3 linked regions of the Anolis sagrei genome follow. The protein of the gene in region 1 interacts with the protein of each later gene in a pairwise test. Links are inferred from orthologs where the notes say so. Each region holds a gene or a part of one and is shown on either strand. Other genes may lie near its edges.

Region 1 (7,569 bases):
AAGATGGCTTTGAAAGGCAGCAGATCACAGGAGATGTCTTCATAGACCTGTCAGCAGCCTATGATACTGTGAACCACCGCCTCCTCCTGAGAAAAATGTATAGTATCACAAAGGAGGACCACCTCACCCGCCTCATAGGAAACCTGCTACAAAACAGGAGCTTTTTTGTTGAGTTCCAGGGCCAGAGAAGCAGATGGCGGAAACAGAAGAACGGCCTGCCCCAGGGGAGCGTGCTTGCTCCATCCATGTTCAACATCTACACAAATGACCAGCCACTGCCAGACGGGACAGAGAGTTTCATCTATGCTGATGATCGTGCCATTATCACTCAAGCAGGGAGCCTTGAGATAGTTGAATAGGAGCTCTCCGAAGCTCTAGGTGCTCTTACTGCCTATTACAGGGAAAACCAGATGATCCCCAACCCATCTAAAACACAGACATGTGCCTTTCACCTTAAGAACAGACAAGCATCCCAAGCTCTGAGGATTACCTGGGAAGGAATCCCACTGGAGCATTGCAGTGCACCCAAATACCTGGGAGTCACTCTGGACTACACTCTGACCTACATGAAGCACTGCCTGAATATCAAGCAAAAAGTGGGTGCTAGAAACAATATCATACGAAAGCTGACTGGCACAACCTGGGGATCACAACCAGACACAGTGAAGACATCTGCCCTTGCGCTATGCTACTCTGCTGCTATGCATGCCCAGTGTGGAACACATCTCACCACGCTAAAACAGTGGATGTGGCTCTTAATGAGACATGCTGCATTATCACGGGGTGTCTGTGCCCTACACCACTGGAGAAATTACACTGTTTAGCTGGTATTGCATCACCTGACATCCGCCGGGAAGTAGCATCCAATAGTGAAAGGACCAAGGCAGAGGACATCTCCAGCTCATCCCTTGTTTGGGTATCAGCCAGCACGTCAACGACTTAAATCTAGCAATAGTTTTCTAAGATCTACAGAGACACTCGCTGGAACACCCCAGCAAGCGAGAGTCCAAAAGTGGCAGGCTCAAACCCAGAGCCTCAATCAATGGCTGATACCAAATGAGAGACTCCCTTCTGGGCACACAGGAAACTGGGTGACTTGGAAGGCGCCGAACAGACTGCACTCTGGCATCACGAGATGCAGAGCCAACCTTAAGAAATGGGGCCACAAAGTGGAATCCACGGCATGCGAGTGTAGAGAAGAGCAAACCACTGACCGCCTGCTGCAATGCAACCTGAGCCCTGCCACATGCACTATGGAGGACATTCTTGTGGCAACACCAGAGGCACTCCAAGTGGCCAGTTACTGGTCAACGGACATTTAATCAACTACCAAGTTTGCAAACTTTGTGGTTTTTTTTATCTGTTTGTTTGTTTTGTTCTGTTAGAAATGTAATACAATGGTCTGGTTGCCCCTGACACGATAAATAAATAAAATAAAAATTCCCAGGATTCCATAGCATTGAACCATTGCACTTAAAGTGGCGTCAAACCGTATTAATTCCACAGTGTAGATGCCCTTTGGGTGACCTTGGGCAAGTCGCCCCTTTAAAGACACACAACCACAAAGTTCACTGAGGTGTGGTTGTTATTACTAAGGGCTTAAGGAAACCCATCCTTAGTCTTTGTATATAAGTGGGAAATAATACTGTCACCACTGAAATAATACTGTAAAAGCTGAAATGTGAGAACCGAACTGTCAGATTAGTCTCTCTTGAGGTTTAAGGGCTCAACTCTTAATATCTCCAAGAGGTGTAACCATATTGGAGCAGAAATCACAAAGTATTTAGTGGTGCCTTTCAGATTAGCAAGTTTTCTTTGGCACCCCCTTTTGTGAACTCCAGGTCCCTCACATTGGATTAAATGGGTGACAGTTCATCAGGAAGGTGCAACGAAATGCTCTTTGAATTCTTCGAACTTCTTTTGTGTTCATTTGTGTTTGTACTGCTTTTGTGGCTTTTGTTTTTCTTGAACCCTGGCCCAATCGAACTTGAAAGCAATGCCGTTTGAGTGACAGCTTCATTGCCAGGGTTCAATGCTATGGGGTCCTGGGAGTTGAAGTTTCCCAAGGTCTTTAACATTCTGCCAAAGAGTGCCGGTGCTTCACGAAACTAAAATTCATAGGATCCCATAACATTCAGCCATGGCAGTCAAAGTGGTGTCAAACTGCATTAATTCTACAGTGTAGATGCACCCATAAATATATTAAGTATTTATTTGTTTATAATATAACAATATTAATAATAATAATGGGAATTCATAGCAGTTAACCCCTTTAACCGTGATTACTCTATTCTATGGATTCCTAGGATTTGTTGTTTGCTGCACCACTTTATGTATTTATTTATTATTTGCTTTCCTGCAATCTTTACTTGCATTGTATTTAATTTCCTGCATTCTTTGCTTGCATTTATTTCTATTATTATTACTACTACTACTACTATTATTTGCTTTCCTGTATTTTTCGCTTGCATTATATTTAATTTCCTGCATTCTTTCCTTACATTTATTTCTATTATCATTATTATCATCATTATTATTATTTAATTTCCTGCATTCTTTGCTTGCATTGTATTTAATTTTTTGCATTCTTTTCTTGCATTTATCTATATCATCGTCATCATTATTTACTTTCCTGCATTCTTTGCTTGCATTTATTTCTTCTTCTTATTATTATTTGCTTTGTTTGCATTATATTTAATTTTCTGCATTATTTTACTTGCATTTATTTCTGTTATTATTATTATTATTAGTAGTATTATTATTCCTGTATTCTTTGCTTGCAATTATTATTATTATTATTATTATTATTATTATTATTAGCTTTCCTTTATTCTTTGCTTGCATTGCATTTACGGTAATTATTTCCTTACATTTATATTATTGTTCATTCGTTCAGTCGTCTCCGACTCTTCGTGACCTCATGGACCAGTCCACGCCAGAGCTCCCTGTCGGCCATCACCACCCCCAGCTCCTTCAAGGTCAGTCCAGTCGATTCAAGGATGCCATCCATCCATCTTGCCCTTGGTCAGCCCCTCTTCCTTTTGCCTTCCACTTTCCCCAGCATAATTGTCTTCTCTAGGCTTTCCTGTCTCCTCATGATGTGGCCAAAGGACTTCAACTTTGTCTCTCGTCTCCTTCCCTCCAGTGAGCAGTCGGGCTTTCTTTCCTGGAGGATGGACTGGTTGGATCTTCTCGCAGTCCAAGGCACTCTCAGCACTTTCCTCCAACACCACAGCTCGAAAGCATCTCTCTTCCTTCGCTCAGCCTTCCCTAAGGTCCAGCTCTCACATCCGTAGGTGACTACAGGGAATACCATGGCTTTGACTAGGCAATGGATCTTTGTTGCCAGTGTGATGTCTCTGCTCTTTACTATTTGGACATGGCTCTCCTCCCAAGAAGGAAGCGTATTCTGATTTCCTGGCCACAGTCTGCATCTGCAGTCATCTTTGCGCCTAGAAATACAAAGTCTGTCACGGCCTCCACGTTTTCTCCCTCTATTTCCCAGTTGTCAATCATTCTTGTTGCCATAATCTTGGTTTTTTTGACGTTTAGCTGCAACCCGGCTTTTGCGCTTTCTTCTTTCACCTTGATTAGAAGGCTCCTCAGCTCCTCCTCGCTTTCGGCCATCAGAGTGGTGTCATCTGCATATCTGAGGTTGTTGATGTTTCTTCCAGCCATTTTCACCCCAGCTTTGCATTCCTCAAGCCCCGCACATCCTCGCATGATGTGTTCTGCATACAAGTTTATATTATTATTTTGTTATTATTAATAATAATTTTCCTGCATTCTTTGCTTGCATTGCATATAATTATTTCCTTACATTTATTTCTATTATTATTATTATTATTATTATTATTATGAATTTTCCTGCATTCTTTGCTTGCATTTATTATATGTATTATTCGCTTTCCCGTATTCTTTGCTTGCATTGCATTTAATTATTTCCTTACATTTATTTCTATTATTATTATTATTATTAATTTTCCTGCATTCTTTGCTTGCATTTATTATATTTATTGTTAGATTTCCTGTATTCCTTGCTTGCATTGCATTTAATTATTTCCTTACATTTATTTCTATTATTATTATTATTATGCCTTTTTTCCTCTGGATTAACTTGAACTCTATTAATTATTATTATTATTATTATTATTATTATTATTATTATCTTAGGACCCATAAGGCACCTGATGTCCCTTGTGTGTGGGATGCATTGAAAGGCTGCCTTGTTTGCCTCCTCCTCCTCTATACCAAACCTTGCCAAAAAGAGAGATAAAAAAAAAATTCACTCCCTCTGAGGCTCCATTCACAAAAATGTTGCTGCTGCTGATTCATGCTGATGAGAGCTTTCCCCAGCCCAGCCCCGCCCCTCCACCCCCAAGCCACGCCCCCTTTAAGCCACGCCCCCTCTGCTCTGCCACTGTCATATATTTCAGAGCCTGCCTTTCAGGGAAGCAGAAACTTCTCTTGATCTCTTCCAGGCAAAAGGCACTTGCAATCCCAGGAAATATCTGCTGGAAATCTACTTTCCTGACCTCAAAGGTAAGGCTGCATTGATGCTGCAAAGCTCTTATTGCTCAGATGCACTTTTTTGCTGCTTTTAAAAATACTTTTCATATATATATATTTAGTGTCATCAGATCCCAAGGACTTTCTGTAACCGGTGCCAGGGAAGTCCTTTTCCTTGGCAAGGGATCAGGAGAAGGCTCTTGTTACATAAATGGAAAATCTGTGCGCGTTGAAAGCCGCTGTGTTTTAAAAAGCCGGCACGATTAGCAAAGAATCATAGAAACATAAGGTTGGAAGGGACCCCAAGAGGATATCTAGTCCAACCCCAGAGAGCAACCATACCATTAAAAGGTGTTCCTATGCTGCTTACATTTCTTAGGATGCACCTGTTGAATGAAAGTTTCGAAAAGTTCCTTTTTGGGTGAATTATAGTCTCTGGAATTGCCCAGTTTGGTTACTGGATTGCTTGGCAGTTACAGGTGTGTCTACACTTCACAATTAATGCAGTTTGACAGCACTTTAACTCCATGCTATGGAATCCTGGGAGTTGTAATTTGGTGAGGTACCAGTCCTTTTTGGTAACAGTAGTACTTATTATTATTACATTATTATTATTATTATTATTATTATATGCATTAATTATTATTATTACATTATTATTATTATTATTATATAATATAATAATAATAATAATAATAATAATAATAATAATGGAACCCCACTGATGATGCATATAATAAATAATAATAATAATAATATAATAATAATAATTATTATTATTATATGCATCATCAGTGGGGTTCCGTGCTCTCTGTCTGTAGGGTAAACTACAACTCCCACTTGGCATGTCAGGTATGTGTGCCAAGTTTGGTCCAGATCCATCAGTGTTTGGGTTCACAGTGCTCTCTGGATGTAGGCAAACTACAACTCCCACTATGTTGAGTCAGTCCCCTCAAATCCCTCCAGTAGGTTGAGTTAGTCATGGGAATTCTGTGTGCCAAGTTTGGTCTAGGTCTTATCATCTAAGAGATCACTATTTCTCTGGTTGTGGGTGAACTACAACTCCCAGAAAGGAAGGTCAGTTCCCCCCAAGCCCCTCCAATAATCACATTTCAGCATGTCAGGTATGTCTGCCAAGTTTGGTCCAGATCCATCGGTGTTTGGGTTCACAGTGCTCTCTGGATGTAGGTGAACTACAACTCCCACTATGTTGAGCCAGTCTCCTCAAACCCCTCCAGTAGGTTGAGTTAGTCATGGGAATTCTATGTGCCAAGTTTGGTCCAGGTCCATCATCTGTGGAGATCACCATTTCTCTGGTTGTGGGTGAACTACAACTCCCAGAAAGGAAGGTCAGTTCCCCCCAAACCTCTCCAATAATCACATTTTGACATGGTATGTGTGCCAAGTTTGGTCTGGATCCATCGGTGTTTGGGTTTACAGTGATCTCTGGCTGTAGGGTAAACTACAACTCCCACTATGTTGAGTCAATCCCCTCAAATCCCTCTAGTACGTTGAGTTAGTCACGGGGGGCGGGGGTTCTGTGTGCCAAGTTTGGTCCAGGTCCATCATCTAGGAGATCACCACTTCTCTGGTTGTGGTGAACTACAACTCTCAGAAAGGAAGGTCAGTTCCCCCCAAACCCCTCCAGTAATCGGATTTTGGTATGTCAGGTATGTGTGCCAAGTTTGGTCTGGATCCATCGGTGTTTGCGTTCACAGTGCTCTCTGGATGTAGGTGAACTACAACTCCCACTGTGGTGAGTCTGCCCCCTCAAACCCCTCCAGTAGGTTGAGTTAGTCATGGGAATTCTGTGTGCCAAGTTTGGTCCAGGTCCATCATCTAGGAGATCACCATTTCTCTGGTTGTGGGTGAACTACAACTCCCAGAAAGGAAGGTCAGTTCCCCCCAAACCCCTCCAATAATCAAATTTCGGCATGTCAGGTAAGTGTGCCAAGTTTGGTCCAGATCCATCAGTGTTTGGGTTCACAGTGCTCTCTGGATGTGGGTGAACTACAACTCCCACTATGTTGAGTAAGTCCCCTCAAACCCCTCCAGTAGGTTGAGTTAGTCATGGGAATTCTATGGGCCAAGTTTGGTCCAGGTCCATCATCTGTGGAGATCACCATTTCTCTGGTTGTGGGTGAACTACAACTCCCAGAAAGGAAGGTCAGTTCCCCCCAAACCCCTCCAATAATCAAATTTTGGCATGTCAGGTATGTAGGCCAAGTTAGGTCCAGATCCATCAGTGTTTGGGTTCACAGTGCTCTCTGGATGTAGGTGAACTACAACTCCCACTATGGTGAGTCAGTCCCCTCAAAGCCCTCCAGTAGGTTGAGTTAGTTATGGGAATTCTATGTGCCAAGTTTGGTCCAGGTCCATCATCTGTGGAGATCACCATTTCTCTGGTTGTGGGTGAACTACAACTCCCAGAAAGGAAGGTCAGTTCCCCCCAAACCTCTCCAGTAATCAAATTTTGGCATGTCAGGTATGTGTGCCAAGTTTGGTCCAGATCTACCATCTGTGGAGATCATAATTTCTCTTGTTGTGGGTGAACTACAACTCCCAGAAAGAATGGTCAGTCGTCCCCCCCCCCCCCCAACCCCTCCAATAATCAAATTTTGGCATGTCAGGTATGTGTGCCAAGTTTGGTCTGGTTCCATCGGTGTTTGGGTTCACAGTGCTCTCTGGATGTAGGTGAACTACAACTCCCACTATGTTGAGTCAGTCTCCTCAAACCCCTCCAGTAGGCTAAGTTAGTCATGGGAGTTAGTCATGCTCTCTGGCTGTAGGGTAAACTACAACTCCCACTATATTGAGTCAGTCCCCTCAAACCCCTCCAGTAGGTTCAGTTGGTCGTGGGGATTCTATGTGCCAAGTTTGGTCCACTTCCATCATCAGTGGAGATCAGCATTTCTCTGCTTGTGGGTGAACTACAACTCCCAGAAAGGAAGGTCAGTTCCCCCCAAACCCCTCCAATAATCAAATTTCAGCATGTCAGGTATGTGTGCCAAGTTTGGTCCAGATCCATCATCTGTGGAGATCACCATTTCTCTGTTTGTG
Region 2 (8,438 bases), on another chromosome or scaffold:
CTGGCCACAGTGGTTACATCTCAAATTGATTACTGCAGTGCACTCTACATGGGGCTGCCTTTAAAGATGGCTCGGAAACAGCAACTAATACAAAGAGCCAGGTTGTTGACTGGACCTAATTATAGGGAACATACCACTGCCTACTAAAGCAGCTCCACTGGCTGCCTATATGTTTCCAGCCCCAATACAAAGCCCTACACGGTTCAGGTCCAGCCTATTTACATGACCACATCTCTCCCTATGAACCTGTTTAAGTATAAATATCTGTCTGGGAGGCCCTTCTCACGGTCCCACCGCCATCACAAGCACGGTTGGTGGGGACAAGGAAGAGGGCCTTCGCAATTGTGCCCCTAACTCTGGAACACCCTCCCCAGGGAGATTAGGTAAGGTTCCGCACTTTCAACTTTTCAGAATGAGTTGAAAACCTGGCTTTTAAAACAGGCCTTTGACACAACATCCAGTGGTTGAAGAATTTAAATGGAACTAAGTTTTAATTGGATTTTTGTTCTTTTGACCAGACCAGTGACTGGAATGTTTTGAGTTATATGAAATAACCACTGATTACTTTTAGTTATGAATTATGGTTATCTAAGTCAATTTAACATGTTGCTTATTTCATATTATTTTGTGTCACTATTTTTGTTGATTTCAGTTAATTTTGTTGTATTTCTTAATAATGCTTGTTTATAGTTTGCATTGTTATTTTGTTGTAAGCTGCTCCGAATCCCCAGAGATGGGGCTGGATACAAATAAAGTATTATTATTATTATTATTATTATTCTATCTAATGTTTAGGTAGACTTTATTTTCTTCTGATTTGAATCAATTGGCCTCTGGAGTAACAGAAAATAAGCTTTCTCTATTTTTACATGATACTACTTCAGACATTTAAATATGTATATCCTATCATCCCTCAGTCTTCTCCACACTTAACAGACTCAACTGCCTAAGTCCATTATATAACTTGGTTTACTTATTTTTTTATCATCTGAGTTGTCCTTCTCTGGAGATGTTTAATCCGTATCCCTCTTGAAGTGGACACAGTAGTACAGGTGAAATTTGATGAAAACAGAATAAACTAGTACTACCAATTATATTTTTGATCTGACACGATACTCTTGTTGAATCTATCTAGAATTGTTGGCTTGAGTTTTGCTTATGGTCTGCTAAAACTCCTATATCTGTTTCACTTGTACTCCTTTCAAGCCAAGTGTCACCCATCCTATATTTGTCATTTCCTTTTTCTTTCCTAGATGTAGAACCTGATATTTATCCCTCTTGCAATACATTTTATGAAAGTCATTGATGCCGAACAACACTGGAACCAGGATACAACTCTGGGTTATGACACTAAGCACTTCTCTTCGAGATGAAGAGCAACCATTGATGTGGACATTTTGTTTGGTCTATCAACAAATTACAAATCCACCTCACAGCCATACTGTACAGTCCACAGTTCACAAACCTGTTTGTGAAAATAGCATGGGAGGACATTAACAAAAGACCTACTGAAATGAAGTGGTTGCACTGCCCTGGTCTATCAAAAGAGTAAACAAACTGATGCAGCCTCTCTTATCTTGTTTAATGCTCTTCTAAAATGGAAACACAGATCAACAAAACATTTTATTCATTGTTGTCTTGGTCTTTATGCCTGTCTATGGGGTTATTCAGAAAATTCAGAAAAATGCATTGAATAGACTGTATCAGCTCTTAGATATGGTTATAATGCTTCTATAAGCAAGCAAGTGAAGATTGGTATATGACATATGTTCTGTATCTCAAAACCTAGAGTTGATAGGAGAAAACTGGCTAGTGAAGGCTTTACTGTGTCAATTACAACCTGGTCCAAGTTTTAATCTAACCAACCTCTCTCTGTCATTTGCTTGCCCCTCTACTGTTGCCCCTGATGAAACAGCCAGAGAGGAGGGGATAAACCAATCAAACATTAGGAATAGTAGTTGCCAGTAGAAGGGAAAGTTGCAATCAATTCCTTTCCTTACAGAGGAGTATCTTAGGGCCCTTCCGGACAGGCCCTATATCCCAGAATGATCCCAGCTTTTCTGCGTTAAACTGGATTATATGAGTCCACACTGCCAGATAATCTGGGATAAACAGAAAACCTGGAACCAGATCCTGGGATATAGGGCCTGCCTGGAAGGGCCCTTAGAGAACAACTTTTTTGGAGTAAAGGGTACCTAGATGAGGAGGGAAAGACAATGTTGCTAGGTTAAGACAAGTGATGTTATAGAAAATTGTATATTTTACAAGAAGGCAAGTTTCCTATCTTTGTTTATACATTTTTGGGGCCACGGAATTCGAAAACCTTGGTGCAGCAACGCCATGCTAATATTGCATTACTGGCTTTTTGCAAAGGTGAATGGTTTTAACAACATCATCAACAACTGCATGATTAATTAATTCACACCTCATAATTGATTACAATTACCAGCAAGAAAAAAAACAAAAAGAGGAAGCAATTTACTAAGGTGCAGCTTATGGTGAAACAGAAGCATCACATATATGTATGCATGCATATATGAATGAATATGCATGTAAAAGTAAAATGCTGATTTTAAAGTAAGTGTTAAAAATTAGAGAAAATAGTTAACCTCCTATTGGGGAATAGGACTGTTCTGGCTGTCACTCAAAACAGGTTTTAAATTTGGGATTGAAATGAGATAAAACCACTGTCAGCTAAAATACACCAGCCAAATCTTGGGAGATAAAGCAAACCTTATTCCTTAAAACCTTGCTGCTTTCAAGACATTGTTTTTTTCATATCTATACTTTTGTATTTAGAATGGAATCTTGCTGGTATAAGCAGACATTCAACAAGTTCAGTCTTTACATCAGACAAAGGGTCTACTCACTGGTGGCCTCTTCCACTCAAATTTGACAGGGAGCTTCTGGCTATAGAAAAGGGAGGAGTCATTTGCTGGAAAATCTGGATCTTCATAAAGAATTTTCTTTTCGAGACATTTCTTATGGAGCTCGTGAAAAGTCTTCTCCTTGGCACCGATGATGGGTTGGTTGCGGCTGAGGATGGCAGAGTAGATCCCTCCTGCGCCTCCACCTGTTTCTGCTGTTGTGCTAGCATTCTGGCAGGCAATGGGTCCAGCCCCAGACCCTTTTACCATCTTGGTACTGACAGCCGACGGCATGGAGATTGGTTGTGAATAAATTTATAAATTAAAGAATGATAACAAAAATAAGGAAGATCTTGCAATCCGGAAAAGGACAGGAAAGAGGAAGTTGCTCTGTCAACGAGTTCACAGTTCTCTTTCACTCCTTGTTTGTCTGCGAATATTTAGACAGCAATGTGAAGAACCATCCCGTAGGTTGGTCTACATGTCATCTTGAGGTTCTCCCTTGGTATCAATACCAGCATCTTAGCAGGAAGCAAGAGAAATTGTTGAGTAACGTTCCCCTCCAGATTTGTGTGTGCGAACGTGCCTATGGCATGCTTTGGAAAGGTTGCAGATCAGGAAACTAAAAATAAACTCTTAGGGAGAGTGTTCATGTGGAGGAGGGGAGGAAGAAACAGAGCTCATCCTTTCAGAATGTCTGAAAGGGCTAGGCAGGCTAAAATCACTTTTTCATTTTTTTAAAAAAAATCTACCTTCTCATGCAGTTCTTCAATGGTTAAGAACTTGGCGCACATACTGTAGAAAACTTATTTTTTTCATAAACAAATCCACAAGATTCAAATTTTAAAAGTCTGTAATAAAGAAGTAGGAGTCATTGTAAAGTGACCCAAAATATGTAGTAATTTCAAAGGATTCAATTTTTCTAGGGCCATTTTAGACTCATATCAAACAGCATTTCCAGGATTGTTGCAGTACTTTAAACATTTTTGGAAACAGTTCGTCTGGTTGTAGAGCATTGGTTCTCAACCTGTGGGTCCCCAGGTGTTTTGGCCTACAACTCCCAGAAATCCCAGTGTTTGCCAGCTGTTAGGATTTCTGGGAGTTGAAGGCCAAAACATCTGGGGACCCACAGGTTGAGAACCACTGTCTTAGAGATTTTGATCATTTAGAGTAGCCAGGTAGTCCTATAATGCACATTTACCTATTCAATGTTGCATTCCCCCTACCACATCATCTGACCCACTTTCCCAGGTTGAGCACCATTTTCTTTGTGAGAAAATACTGAGGGAAAGAAGACATTGCGTAGTTCTACACTTTTCTGTCTCCTGTAAACATTTCACCATTATCTCCATGCAGTGGGCCCTACCATTTCCTTGTTCTTCCTTTCACTAAGGGCATAATAACAGTAACAAAATCTAACCCTTTTTATTAGTTTTAGTCTTTCTAGCAAATCTGAGTTCATTGTGCACTATAGCTTTTTTATTTTATCCCTTCACATGTTGACTATTTGTTGGAATTCCTCTTTAGTGTTTCTTTCCTTTTCTATGTCTTGTACACATCCCTTAAATCTTATCTCACTTGAAAAATCTTTAATGACAGCCATTCTGAATTCTTTAGACGTCTCCAGTTTTTCCTCGTGATTCAAAAGGATTCAATCTGTGCCTCCAATACCTCACTTTTAAGAAACTCCCATCCATCATGAACACCCTTCTCTTTTAGTGTTCTTGACCATAATAACTTTATTCTTATATCCCGCCATCATCTCCCCAAAGAGACTCGGGCCATCTTACATGGGGACCAGTCACAGTAAAATACATTGCATTACAATAAATTAAAACAAAAACCGTACAAAACATCGTAAAAACATAAACCATCAACAACCAAAAACCAGTAGCCGAGCACAATGGATGTGTTCAGAGCTGACCATGCGATCACACTATTTCCCTGTATTTACTGAAATCAGCTTTCTTGAAATCTAGAAACTGACTACACTTCACTTCTCCTTTCCACTATGCAACAAACTCCAGGAGAACATGATCACTCCCACATAAGGAACTTCCCACATAAGGAACCAATTTATCAGGTTATCACTGTTGGTTAGGATCAGATCTAAAATAACGGATCCCCTTCTGGACAATGTCATTGCCTACAAGACAAGTGATGTCCCACAGAGTATTCAAAAGAGCCCATTTACTATAGATGGATACCAACGTACCCCCATCATGTTTTTCTGGAGGTCTCTTTTTCTTCAGGAAAGCAGCAAAATATGTCAGTCTTAATGCAGTTGTGCAGTTACAAGCTCTTTAGATTGTAATGAATAACATAACATGATTAGAATGCTTGAGAATGGGAGAACCAAGATTGCATATTCCTGTCCTCTCATACAAATTTAGGACCATGGTTAACACAAAAGGTGTAAAATATTGTCTTTCTTTATATTCAAGCCGTTGCTTTCATCAGATTTTTGTGAGAACTAAAATGAACAGTAGTAGTCAGCCCTCCACATCTGTGGGCTTGACTTTTGTGGATTTGATTAAAATATTCTCTCTAGGATCTCTAAGTCTTCCAGTGTGACTTTATGGTCAAATCTGCTGGAAATTGAGCACAGAATCATATTTGAGAACTTACGAGATTCCTAGAGAGAATACTTCTCTAGAATCTTAAGATTCTCTGGGGTGATTCTATGGTTTAACTTGACCATAGGGTTGTGCTGAAGAATGTAGAAATTTCCAGAAAGGTTTTTTCTCACATAATGCACAGTAGTGGTTTTTTATTCATGGTTTTTCCAATGTTGTGGGGGTCCTGTTTCCCTAATCCCAGTGACTGTGGAGAGCTGGCTGTATTTTTATTATTTTGAGGAGATATTTCACAGAAATATTGGGGTCATAATCTGTTGCAGTATCAGTACATTTTAAGGACCAATTAAATAATAAATGGAGATGATAAACACAGGGAGAAAACTACTTTTTTTTATTTGTGACATAAAATCATTAATATGTATAGCATTAATTCGTAGTTAACCCTATACATGTTGTTGCAGAACTTAGCTGCACAGAATTCAATAGGACATACTCTGAGAGAGAGAGATTGATTGAGAGAGGGTCCATCTTCCAGAGGGAGGGCGGGCGGGCAGGGGACATACTGTACATGTATGTACATATACTGTACATACTGTAAGCGTCCCTACTTTGTGGATTTTCACTTATCGCGGGTGGTCCTGGAACATAACCCCCGTGATAAGTGAGGGAACACTGTATTAATTTTGGTATCTATGAGTTAATTTGCAATAAACCAACTGCAAAATGTTTTGAGGTCTCCTGGCTTTGCCATAACATGTGTGCTAACTCATTGATCTCATTGTTTTCTTAGGCCGTTGTTAAAACAACTGACATGCCTTTCCCCCATTACTTAAGATTCTTTGACATGTATAACCATCTGTTCTCCAAAATCTCCTGAAAGCAGCTGTCTAAAGTCAGGCTGACATGCTGTTTACATTTCTCTTCCAGAGTTCACTAGTCTTGTCAAAAGGTACGCCTCTTCTCTCAAACATACACATCCTTGAATTTATAAGGAAAGAAAAATTAGATAATATTGTAAATGCTTTATTTTCTAATTTTTTTCATCCGCATTTGTTTTTTTACATCCACTTTGCCTATATATTGATGGAGTAATTACTGTAATTGAATTATTTGGAGAGACTCATGAGCTATGTTCTGGCAACTATGTAAGAGGAAATCTAAGAAGCCACTCAATGGTGGTTCGCTCATAACTATGTGACTGCTCTAGGGATTCGGGTTACTGCAGTATGAAAACACCAGCAATGATAGAATTCTGCAATCTTCTGAAGCCACCCCCCCCCCCGCCCCAATTCATTGCTCTACTGAAACAATATGCAGTTCTAAGCAAGGACCATGTTACTAGCCATTATGCACATTCAAACATTGGTCGCCTATAGAGAGCTTTTTCCATGACAAGTCAGTTGTAAAAACTATTTTAAACCAATACAGATGGAGCTCTGTTATGACATCCTTGTCCACATTATTCTATGAAATATTGTGGCATTGCTCACTGTGGCCTTATGACCTTGCCCTTGTGTGATCATGGCAGCCCGATACAAACAGATTTTGTACCAGAAGATTCAGGACACATCTACACAAATTCTTTATCCTATGGCCGATCTGGAGTGTAAAATTCCAGATCGGGCCAGGGATGTTTTTGGCTGTTGGTCCTCTGTGAAGTCTTGGCTCTGTCTTTTCCTCTCCTCTGCTTTAGTTCCTCCTGTTTAGGTTTTCCCAATAGTGTAGATACCTTTCTTTGTATTCGTTTTTTGGATGGAGCATAAAAAACCTCCTAAAGGCCAGCACTAGTTGGTCTATTCCATTTGCCTGCATAGAGCTCTTTTGTTGGACTCCTTTTTTTTTGGCAACAGAGCTACAGAGAATAGAGGCTTAGGAATTATCTGGTAATCCTAGGCCTAAGCAATCCAAAAAACAGACATCCTTAGCACCTGCATTCAACAGTATCCATATACCACCAGTCCAAGAGACAACAGAAGCTTTTGACCAGCTTAAGCTTCAGAAGGAAGAAGATTGAGACAGTTTATAACCATCGCTTTGCACCAGAGGCAAGAAACCTTCAAAATTCCAGAGAGATGACTGCAACCAGCAAAATCTCCTTTTGTAATGTATTGTTTCAAGTTATTCTATATCCCGGATATAGGATAACTATCCTGGGTGGAGTTAACCCTTTATTCATCTTGTTTTCAGTAAACTCATTTTGGTTATCTTTTTACCTTACCTAAAGTGCCTCTGTCTGCTAAGGGTCTTAATCTTAACAGAAGGTATCAGATACCCCCCGAATAAAGCCAGACATTGTAGTTTTTCCCAAAGGCTTGGGTGTGCCATCACAACCCCTTTGGTTGTGATCACTGATTTAAACAGCTAGCATCTACTCTAATTCTATATAAATACTTGTAAATTAAGATGGAAAGATTGGATCTATTCCCATTACTCCCCACTAGGCTGCAATCGTATACTCTGGGATGAAGGTCTGTGCAGCCCTCCAGAGGTTGTTGAATGGCATCATCCAGCAATTTTGACCATTGGATATGTTGGCTAAGGCTGTTTGGAGATGTTTGGCAAGACCTGGTCTGACACATGATTCCATCTCCTTTTATACTCTCACACCTGGGAATAAAATCTGATATGTTCAGACATACAGAAGATTGCATTTCAGAGTTTGCATCTTCAGCCATCAAAATCACCTCTTGTTCCCATGCACAAGAGCTAAACCCTTTATTTTTTAAAAATCAGACTTACCAATAAGTAAGATCCTACATATGTACACAATAATGCAGAATACATATTTGTGAATGAGTTATTTGGTACATTTCTATCCTGCCTGTGTACACGGGGTCCTTGGCCATCTCTCATGCAGGCTTCTACAAGGCTCTAATCAGCTCAGCTTCACTACAGTGGTGACATCATATGTCCTCTGGACCATGCCTATGCACAGCCCCAAAATAGTTCCACGGAATAGGTGGGAGAGGTCCCTAACATTCCTTGGTAAGCA
Region 3 (7,909 bases), on another chromosome or scaffold:
CTGAGAGAGAAGCAGAGAGAGACAGAGGAAGACCATTTTAAATTCTCATTATTTATTTATTTATTTACTATATTTATATAGCACCCTCTCTCAGTCCAGAGGTGACTCAGAGCAGTTCACAAATTGGCAACAATTTGATGCCTCAACAATTACAACAAGTAAAAACAATCAAGAAATTCTGTTAAAAACAATAGTATATAATATAAAAATATAAAAAACGTACAAAGCCTTAAAACATTATCATGAGCGTCTCCATGTCAAATCGTTATTCCATTGCGTTATCAAGTAGTACCATAATTCCGTTTAGCTATGCTGTATTTGGGAAGGCTTGCTCTTATATTTCTGGGCAGGGCGTTCCACAGTTGAGGGGCCACCACTGAGAAGGCTCTGTCTCTCGTCCCCGCCAGACACATTTGCGAAGAAGGCAGGAGCGGGAGCAGGGCCTCCCCAGAAGATTTTAATGTCCTAGATGTTTCATAAGGAGAGATATGTTTGGATAGGTAAGTCGGACTGAAACCGTGTAGGGCTTTATAGGCCAGCACTTTGAATTGTGCCTGGAAGTAAACTGGCAGCCAGTGGAGCTGGCGCAACAGAGGAGTTGTGTGCTCCCTGAGCACCACTCCTGTTAGCAACCTGGCTGCTGCTCGTTGGACCATTTGCAGCTTCCGAACAGTCTTCGAAGGCAACCCCACGTAGAGCACGTTACAGTAGTCTATATGGGATGTAACCAGAGCATGGACTACTGTGGCCAAGTCAATGGGATATTATGTAAGTCGATGTAACTGATCACATGATTGTAAATATGTTGTTTTGAATTACAAAAAGTAAACTACTTGTTCTTTATTGTTCATCTGCATGGCATGCTTTCTTTCTCTGGCAAAGAAGTGTGGGCTGATCAAACGTGAACTACATGTGGTTTACTTTACATTATGCCACATGAAGCATCACTACAAACAGATTACCTATTTGGGAGTACTGTGATTAGGTTTTCCTGCATGGCCAGGGCTTGGGTCGAATGGCCCTTGTGGCTTCTTCCAGCTCATTGATCCTGTGAAGTGAAATATTGCTTCAGATAAAATAGTGAGATTGAGGTTGCTGTACTTTGGATAGAGATAATGAGACAGCATGACTCACTGGAGAATACGATAATGCTTGAAAAAATGGAAAGCTGTGGGAAAAGAGGGAGACTGCCCTATAAGCAGATTGATTCAACCCAGGAAGCCGCAGCCTTGCGCTTGCAAGACCTGAGCAGGGCAGCTTTTGAGGTTACTGTAAGTTTAAGTTGACTTGAAGTAATTTAAGAACGAACTATTTGTGCATGTAGCCTTACTATTGTAAGTCTCCAACGAGCATGGCTTTAAGTAAAAGTGATTAGATGTGATGTCTATGTTTCTGAAAGTTGCACACATCATTTCCTCTGTTTCCAAATTTCAGAGGTATTAGTTCTCCATGGTCAAAATTGCCAAATAAAAGAGAAAGTGTCAGTAAGCTTGGAAGAATCCCACATTTTGCAAACAGAATCATCTTTATGGAGTAGAAATTCCCTCTCCTCCAAAAAGTCAGCCTAATGAGGACTGTAACAATAATGGCTAAAGAAACCAGAGCGTACCATTAGGCACCTTCCCCACTTTGTTTTGCCCCCCTCTCATCAAACAAATCAGACAATCCAGCAATTGTTTTTGGCTACTTTTTCTAGTTTATTGGGCAGCAACGAATAAACAGCACCTGCAAAATTAAGTAGCTAAATAAATACCTGAGAGGATGTCATATTTCTTGCATATACACACAATTAAACTGTCCTGATATGCTGGGGACAGTCATGATTATTCCTCTGTCACCACACTTTCCCAGCTGATTTTAAAACATCTCAATTTCTTTCTCCTCCTTCTTCTTTAGCTTATTCTAGTGCAGTCGTTTTCAACCTTTTTTTGACCAGGGATCACTTGACTAGGGACTACTTAAACAGGGACCACTTTGAACAGGGACCACTCTCCAACATTAGTACCAAAAGGATTACGAATCAGTTTTTGGTCAACTTTAGATTCAGTTTGGTTATTTTGGGTGCTGATTCAGAAAACTGCATTGGATAGACCACATCAGCTCTAGTTTCTGATACAGAACATATACCATCCAGTAGTCACCACCTGCTTGCCCACAGAAAACCATAAAATAATAATCTAGAGCTGATGTGGTCTATCTAATGGAATTTTCTGAAACAAATAACCCCAGGAACAGGCCTAAAAACAAGAACACCAAGGTGCAAAATGGAACGGCTCTGCTCAGGGGGAGGGAGAAGCAGGGGAAGCAGCAGTCAAGAGGCTTGTTGTCGTGCCTTTCATGGGTAGTTAGCCTCACCCCTCCTGACATCCCCATTGCTTCAGCACTATAAGAGGGTTTCGGGAGACCTGTTGCAATTTTCCTGCTTTTTGGCAGGGGGTTGGACTGGATAGCCCATGAGGTCTCTTCTATGATTCTTGTTGTAACAGTGTAGTAACAGTGAGGGCGCGGATCATATTTTAGTTCTTGCGGATCACTGGTGGTCCATGGACCACAGGTTGGGAACCACTGCTCTAGTGGTGGCAAACCAAGTTTGAAGTGAAAAAAAGTATATTGCAGTCAATTAATTCAGAATTGGGCAGAGAGGGTGGAATCTCATCCTTCCTACTCAGCTAAGGCAAACTTGTACAGTTCCAGCATATTCGAATTGATGTGTTCCTTCCCGTTAATTACTTTTACCAATTTGAACATGTTCTAATGCTGTTTGGTCATACGTGTCCATGTTTTCATCTGTAAACTACTGGAGGTTATATAAATGTGATTAGAGAGATTTTAAAACAAAATCCAGCTACAAGCAGAGACATTCATGTTACTGAAAAGAGATATTTAACCACAACATATTCTCATGTCCGAGTGAACACAAGTCTCCCCTCAAGCATTCAAATTGGGTGAAAATTCTGCAATCTAATGCAGGGTGAAACTCTTTGGGTTACGCTGGAAGCGAGAAGATCTGAACACCACCAGAAAGATTAAGTACTCCCTTACTCGCAAACATACACCTGGATTTGCTTTTCGAAAATGGGAAACATTGTTCGGGCTCGTATACATATTATTTGTGAATTTTAGGCCTTTCTGAAGCAGGTTATTTAATACACCAAAGTTTCCTAGAACACATTTTGAATATTAGTATCCTAAAGAGTGGTTAGAGATGCTTTAACTGCTGTGGCTTGAAATGAATTGAGCAATTTTCTCATCAAAATCTGATTTCTTACCTCTACCCCATCATACTGTTGATCAAAAAGAGCCCCATACTCTGGGAGCCCCAGCTGAGACAACCAGCTAGAAATGGAGATGTGCTTCATAATCCTCTAGTTGTGTCTTTGCAAGAGGGCAAGATTCTTTTATTTCTGCAAAGAAAGAGAAAATCCATGTTTATTTCAAGTTATGAGAATCTTAAGAGTTAGTTGATAGCTATGACACTGCAAAAGTTGGAACATTTTCTTGAAGTTGTATTTTGCAGACTGTTCTTTTATCTGGATTAGAGTGGGTGATGCTGGGAAAAAATATTAGAGTTGAAAGGGCTCAGGGTTTGGATGGCAAAGATTTTTGTAGTATGACAAAGTCAACATGAATGTAGATTTAAACACCATTTTGCGCCTATTGCAGATATGGAATAGATAGAAACCTAGGTTGTTCCCAAAAATGCCTTAATGCAGTGGTTCTCAACCTGTGGGTCCCCAGATGTTTTGGCCTTCAACTCTCAGAAATCCTAACAGCTAGTAAAATGGCTCTGATTTCTGGGAGTTATGGGCCAAAACACCTGGGGACCCACAGATTGAGAACCACTGCCTTAATGGGTCTTAGCATAAGAAACTTTTCATAGAAAAGAAGCAACAGGCAGACAGATGTAACAACGCTCTCTTTATTTCATGTGAAATATAGAAATCCAAAACCAGTGTGCCAGTTACACATTTGCCAACAAAGAGATGTATAAGAAAGCATTGACAAAACAATTGTGCAAAATGGAGAGAATAAGAGAGCAATCCATTAATACACATAGAATTGGTTGGACTGTCATGGAAGGGGGAAAAGCACACTCATCAAGCAGCTGGACAAAAACTATATATTTGCAGGCTTAGCTTTTGCAGATTTGATTAGCTGCGAATTTGATTAATACATTCTTTCTAGGAATCTCTAAATTCTTTAGGACAATTCTATGATCAACATTTTTCTAGGAAATTTGTAAGTCCTCCAGCACAGTTCAATGGTCAACCTCTGGAAGAAGTTGACCATAGAGCCATGATGGAGGACCTAGATATGCCTACAGAGATGTTCTCTCGGATTTATTAAAATGCATGTTTTTTTTTTCAGTTTTGCAGAGCCCTGTGCCCCTAACACCTGCCAAAGTGAAAGGTCTAACTGTATATTGTCTCTGTTCAACAAAGTACCTTATCACACAGGGAAATAACACCCTTTACACACCAGTCCCTATGGAAATGATCACACAATGGACTACCCACTTCATATCAATATGCAAAGGATATGTGGCCAGCAATTTATGAAATACGCATTCCAAATAGTCTTCACCTGTAGCTTTTCCTTAATGCACATCAGAGGCATGGCTTTCTAGGTGTGACCTTACTCCCATATGCATTTTGTCAGCTGTGCCAATGTCATGTGTCCATCGGAGCATGTTTGGGTGCCGTGCTTTCCTACCACTCCATTTTTGTTGATGTGACCACCAGTACACTTCCACTTGCAGCCAGAGAAAGAACCTGAGTAAAGCCACTTGTGTTTTATACTTTCACATTATTATTTTCCATTATTATTATTATTATTATGATTATTTTGTTTAAATGTCAGAACTGTGCAGCTCCATAGGAACAAAAAGATAATAATAATAATAATAATAATAATAGTACATCTTATATTACGTTTTATCTGGAGGGACTCTGAGCGGATTAAAGAACACATATTAGGCAAACATTCAATGCCTTTTTACATGAACAACAACATATAATACACAGATAAGATAAAGATCTTCCCCCTTCTCTATCTCCGCCACCTGGAGGTAATGCTCAACTTCCGGCCATGGGGAGATGCTGTATTTCCATTTTCCATGCCGAAGGAGCCTGTTGTCCTCAGACATCTCTGATCTTTTTGCTGGCATGTCTGCATGGGGCGGCCTTTTTATCTTCCCACAGAAGTACCTTTTGATCTACTCGCATTGCATGCTTTCAAACTGCTAGTAAGAAGATGTTTTTCTGTTTCCCTGTTGAGTTGGAGGTTACTTTTTTTTTCAAAAAAGAAAAGCAGTGACGTTGGGCAGAGCTTCTGAAGGTTCCCTGACTCATGACCTTTTTTACATATGAGATTTTAAGGGAAACCAGGGAGATAATGGCTACCCCACTTGGAGAAGGGAGTCCCGATCCATGTAGGGGAACATTGGAAAGATTAGGAGGAGTTATAAAGCATGGATAGAGTTGCTTGGATAACTCATTGCTCATAATAATTTCATTAAAATTACCTTTTTTAAAAACCAGAAGTCCCTTTGCCCTTCCAAAGCTTTTCTCATCATTTTGATATGACTCCCCGCTTCTGGTCCCTGGCCTCATATCAAGCCAGAGAAGCCAGTTTTAAACTGGAGAAGGAAGGAATTTCCTGGCCTTGGCTCAAGCCAGAGAAGCCAGTTTTAAATCAGAGAAGGAAGGAATTTCCTGGCCTCAACTCAAGCCAGTTTTGAACCAGAGAAGGAAAGAATTTCCTCCGCTTGCTTTTCCCCGCTTCTGGTCCCTGGCCTCAGCTCAAGCCAGAGAAGCCAGTTTTAAATCAGAGAAGGAAGGAATTTCCTGGCCTCAACTCAAGCCAGTTTTGAACCAGAGAAGGAAAGAATTTCCTCCGCTTGCTTTTCCCCGCTTCTGGTCCCTGGCCTCAGCTCAAGCCAGAGAAGCCAGTTTTAAACCACAGAAGGAAGACATTTCCTGGCCTCAACTCAAGTGGAAATTCCTCCACTTGCTTTTCCCTGCTTCTGGAGTAAAACAACTATTTTCAAAGTAAAGACCACCCAAGGAAACAGGAAATAACACTTTCAAACTATTAACAAAAGGATTCGGAAGTCTCGGAAGTTTCGAAAAGTTTTGAAAAAAAAATTCTGTGAAAATTGGAATTGACTTTAGAATCGAACCACCAGCACCCCCTACATCCAAAAACGAGTTTTGAACCATTTTTTTTTTATCAGCCAAGCCTAGGAGTTATCCATCTGCCATGTTATTAGACAAAGCACATTATTTTAATAGATACAGGGAAGTGTGATCTGGCTTGTATGTACCAAGTCCTCAAAAGCCATGGTTGCCTACAGGAAAAGCATTTTCCACTTTGAGTATGATAAGGTCCAAAGGAAACTCTTGACCCCTGCTAGCTAGTAAAATCAGTGCCATCTAGTGACTAAAAGTTATCATTACACTGTCTACACACAGATGATGTATAATTATTGGCACACTCACTGCTCATACATAATGCATGGCAAAATGTGATTCCTGTGAAGAATCTGCATTTTCCTATGCTGTGTGTCTAAAGATGTTGTTCTTTTGTGCACTGCATAAACAAGAGGATTTCTGCCTGCTGCACATAGATGCCAAAGACATTCTGATGTCTCAGCAACAAAAAAATGCTTGTTCTAACCTGCCTACGTGCTGAATATTTTTCACACACATTTGCCCACAGGCTGATGTCATGTGGTCAGCAACGTGTCAAAATGAGAGCTTCTGCTCATGGTTACATCCCATACTGCTGAGGTTATACATCTTAAGCAGTTTTTGAGGATGGAGGAACCTTAAGGAAAGCATGACATAATGCAGGCTCAAAATTACTCCAAGTGTATGGACGCTTGCTTTATTAATGGAAAAGTTAAAGTATCCCTCAAGCTAGAAAAAAACCTCGTTAGAAACATTTTGGAAATACTTAAGACCTTTGTCTCAAAGTGATTATGCTTATTCAACAACATTTTAAATCTGATCTATTGCATACAAATATATTTTAATATATTTAGGAGCCGCCGGTGGTGCAGTGGTTTAAACCACTGAGCTGCTGAACTTGCTGATCAAAAGATCACATTTTGAATCCGGGGAGCAGCATGAGCTCCCGCTATTAGCCCCAGCTTCTGCCAACCTAGCAGTTGGAAAACATGCAAAAGTGAGTAGATCAATAGGTACCACTCCGGTGGGAAGGTAACGGCGCTCCATACAGTCATGCCGGCCACATGATCTTGGAGGTGTCTACGGACAACGCCGGCTCTTCGGCTTAGAAATGGAGATGAGCACCAACCCCCAGAGTCAGACACGACTGGACTTCATGTCAGGGGAAAACCTTTACCTTACCTTTTTAGTGGTTATTATAATTGTTGACTGTAAAAAGGGAATTAGTAATTTGTTTAAATAAGCACGTTTAAACTGGCTATGTTTATATTTTTGGAATCGCTGCAAAACCCTGCATTTTTTCTCCCTATTTTGCTGAAAATTACAACCTGCTCAAGCCTCCACTAGTTACTTGTTATCTATATAATTTCTTACTGTATGTATTAGTTTGTAGTTTTCTTTAACCTCACTGTTGTTGAAGGGGCTGCAGACCATGTGATCAGAACTGGGCATGTTCAGAACTCAGTCTCCATATTTAGATCACAGTATGCCTTTGAGAAGCCTATAAAAGTTTCCTTTCAGACATCAGTGGGAACAGCACTCCATGCTGGCCACATGACCTTGGAGGTGTCTACGGACAATGCCGACTCTTCATCTTAGAAATGGAGATGAGAACCAACTTCCAGAGTTGGACACGACTAGACTATATGTCAGTGGAAAGCCTTTACATTTACCTATATTTTAATAATCAATGCCCATTAATATTAAGGTTGGAGCAG

The links.
Region 2: the proteins of OSGIN1 (region 1) and CAPN3 interact in binary tests that used the Homo sapiens proteins (3 or more experiments, as listed by UniProt). The two-hybrid records come from large-scale screens. The link is inferred for Anolis sagrei from reciprocal best matches to the Homo sapiens genes OSGIN1 and CAPN3.
Region 3: the proteins of OSGIN1 (region 1) and BCAR3 interact in binary tests that used the Homo sapiens proteins (3 or more experiments, as listed by UniProt). The link is inferred for Anolis sagrei from reciprocal best matches to the Homo sapiens genes OSGIN1 and BCAR3.

The regions. Positions count from the first base shown.
Region 1 is NC_090028.1:8,519,182-8,526,750, reverse strand, and holds the start of OSGIN1 (oxidative stress-induced growth inhibitor 1), read left to right. Parts: upstream 1-4,413; 5' UTR 4,414-4,542; intron 4,543-7,569. UniProt on the Homo sapiens protein: Monooxygenase catalytic activity. Involved in regulation of cytokinesis; promotes RHOA activity, probably acting locally at the midbody in late cytokinesis.
Region 2 is NC_090021.1:287,044,736-287,053,173, forward strand, and holds the start of CAPN3 (calpain-3), read right to left. Parts: upstream 3,455-8,438; 5' UTR 3,162-3,454; coding exon 2,871-3,161; intron 1,627-2,870; exon of another isoform or gene 1,254-1,626; intron 1-1,253. UniProt on the Homo sapiens protein: Calcium-regulated non-lysosomal thiol-protease. Proteolytically cleaves CTBP1 at 'His-409'. Mediates, with UTP25, the proteasome-independent degradation of p53/TP53.
Region 3 is NC_090024.1:146,119,895-146,127,803, forward strand, and holds the start of BCAR3 (breast cancer anti-estrogen resistance protein 3), read right to left. Parts: upstream 3,385-7,909; 5' UTR 3,360-3,384; coding exon 3,270-3,359; intron 1-3,269. UniProt on the Homo sapiens protein: Acts as an adapter protein downstream of several growth factor receptors to promote cell proliferation, migration, and redistribution of actin fibers.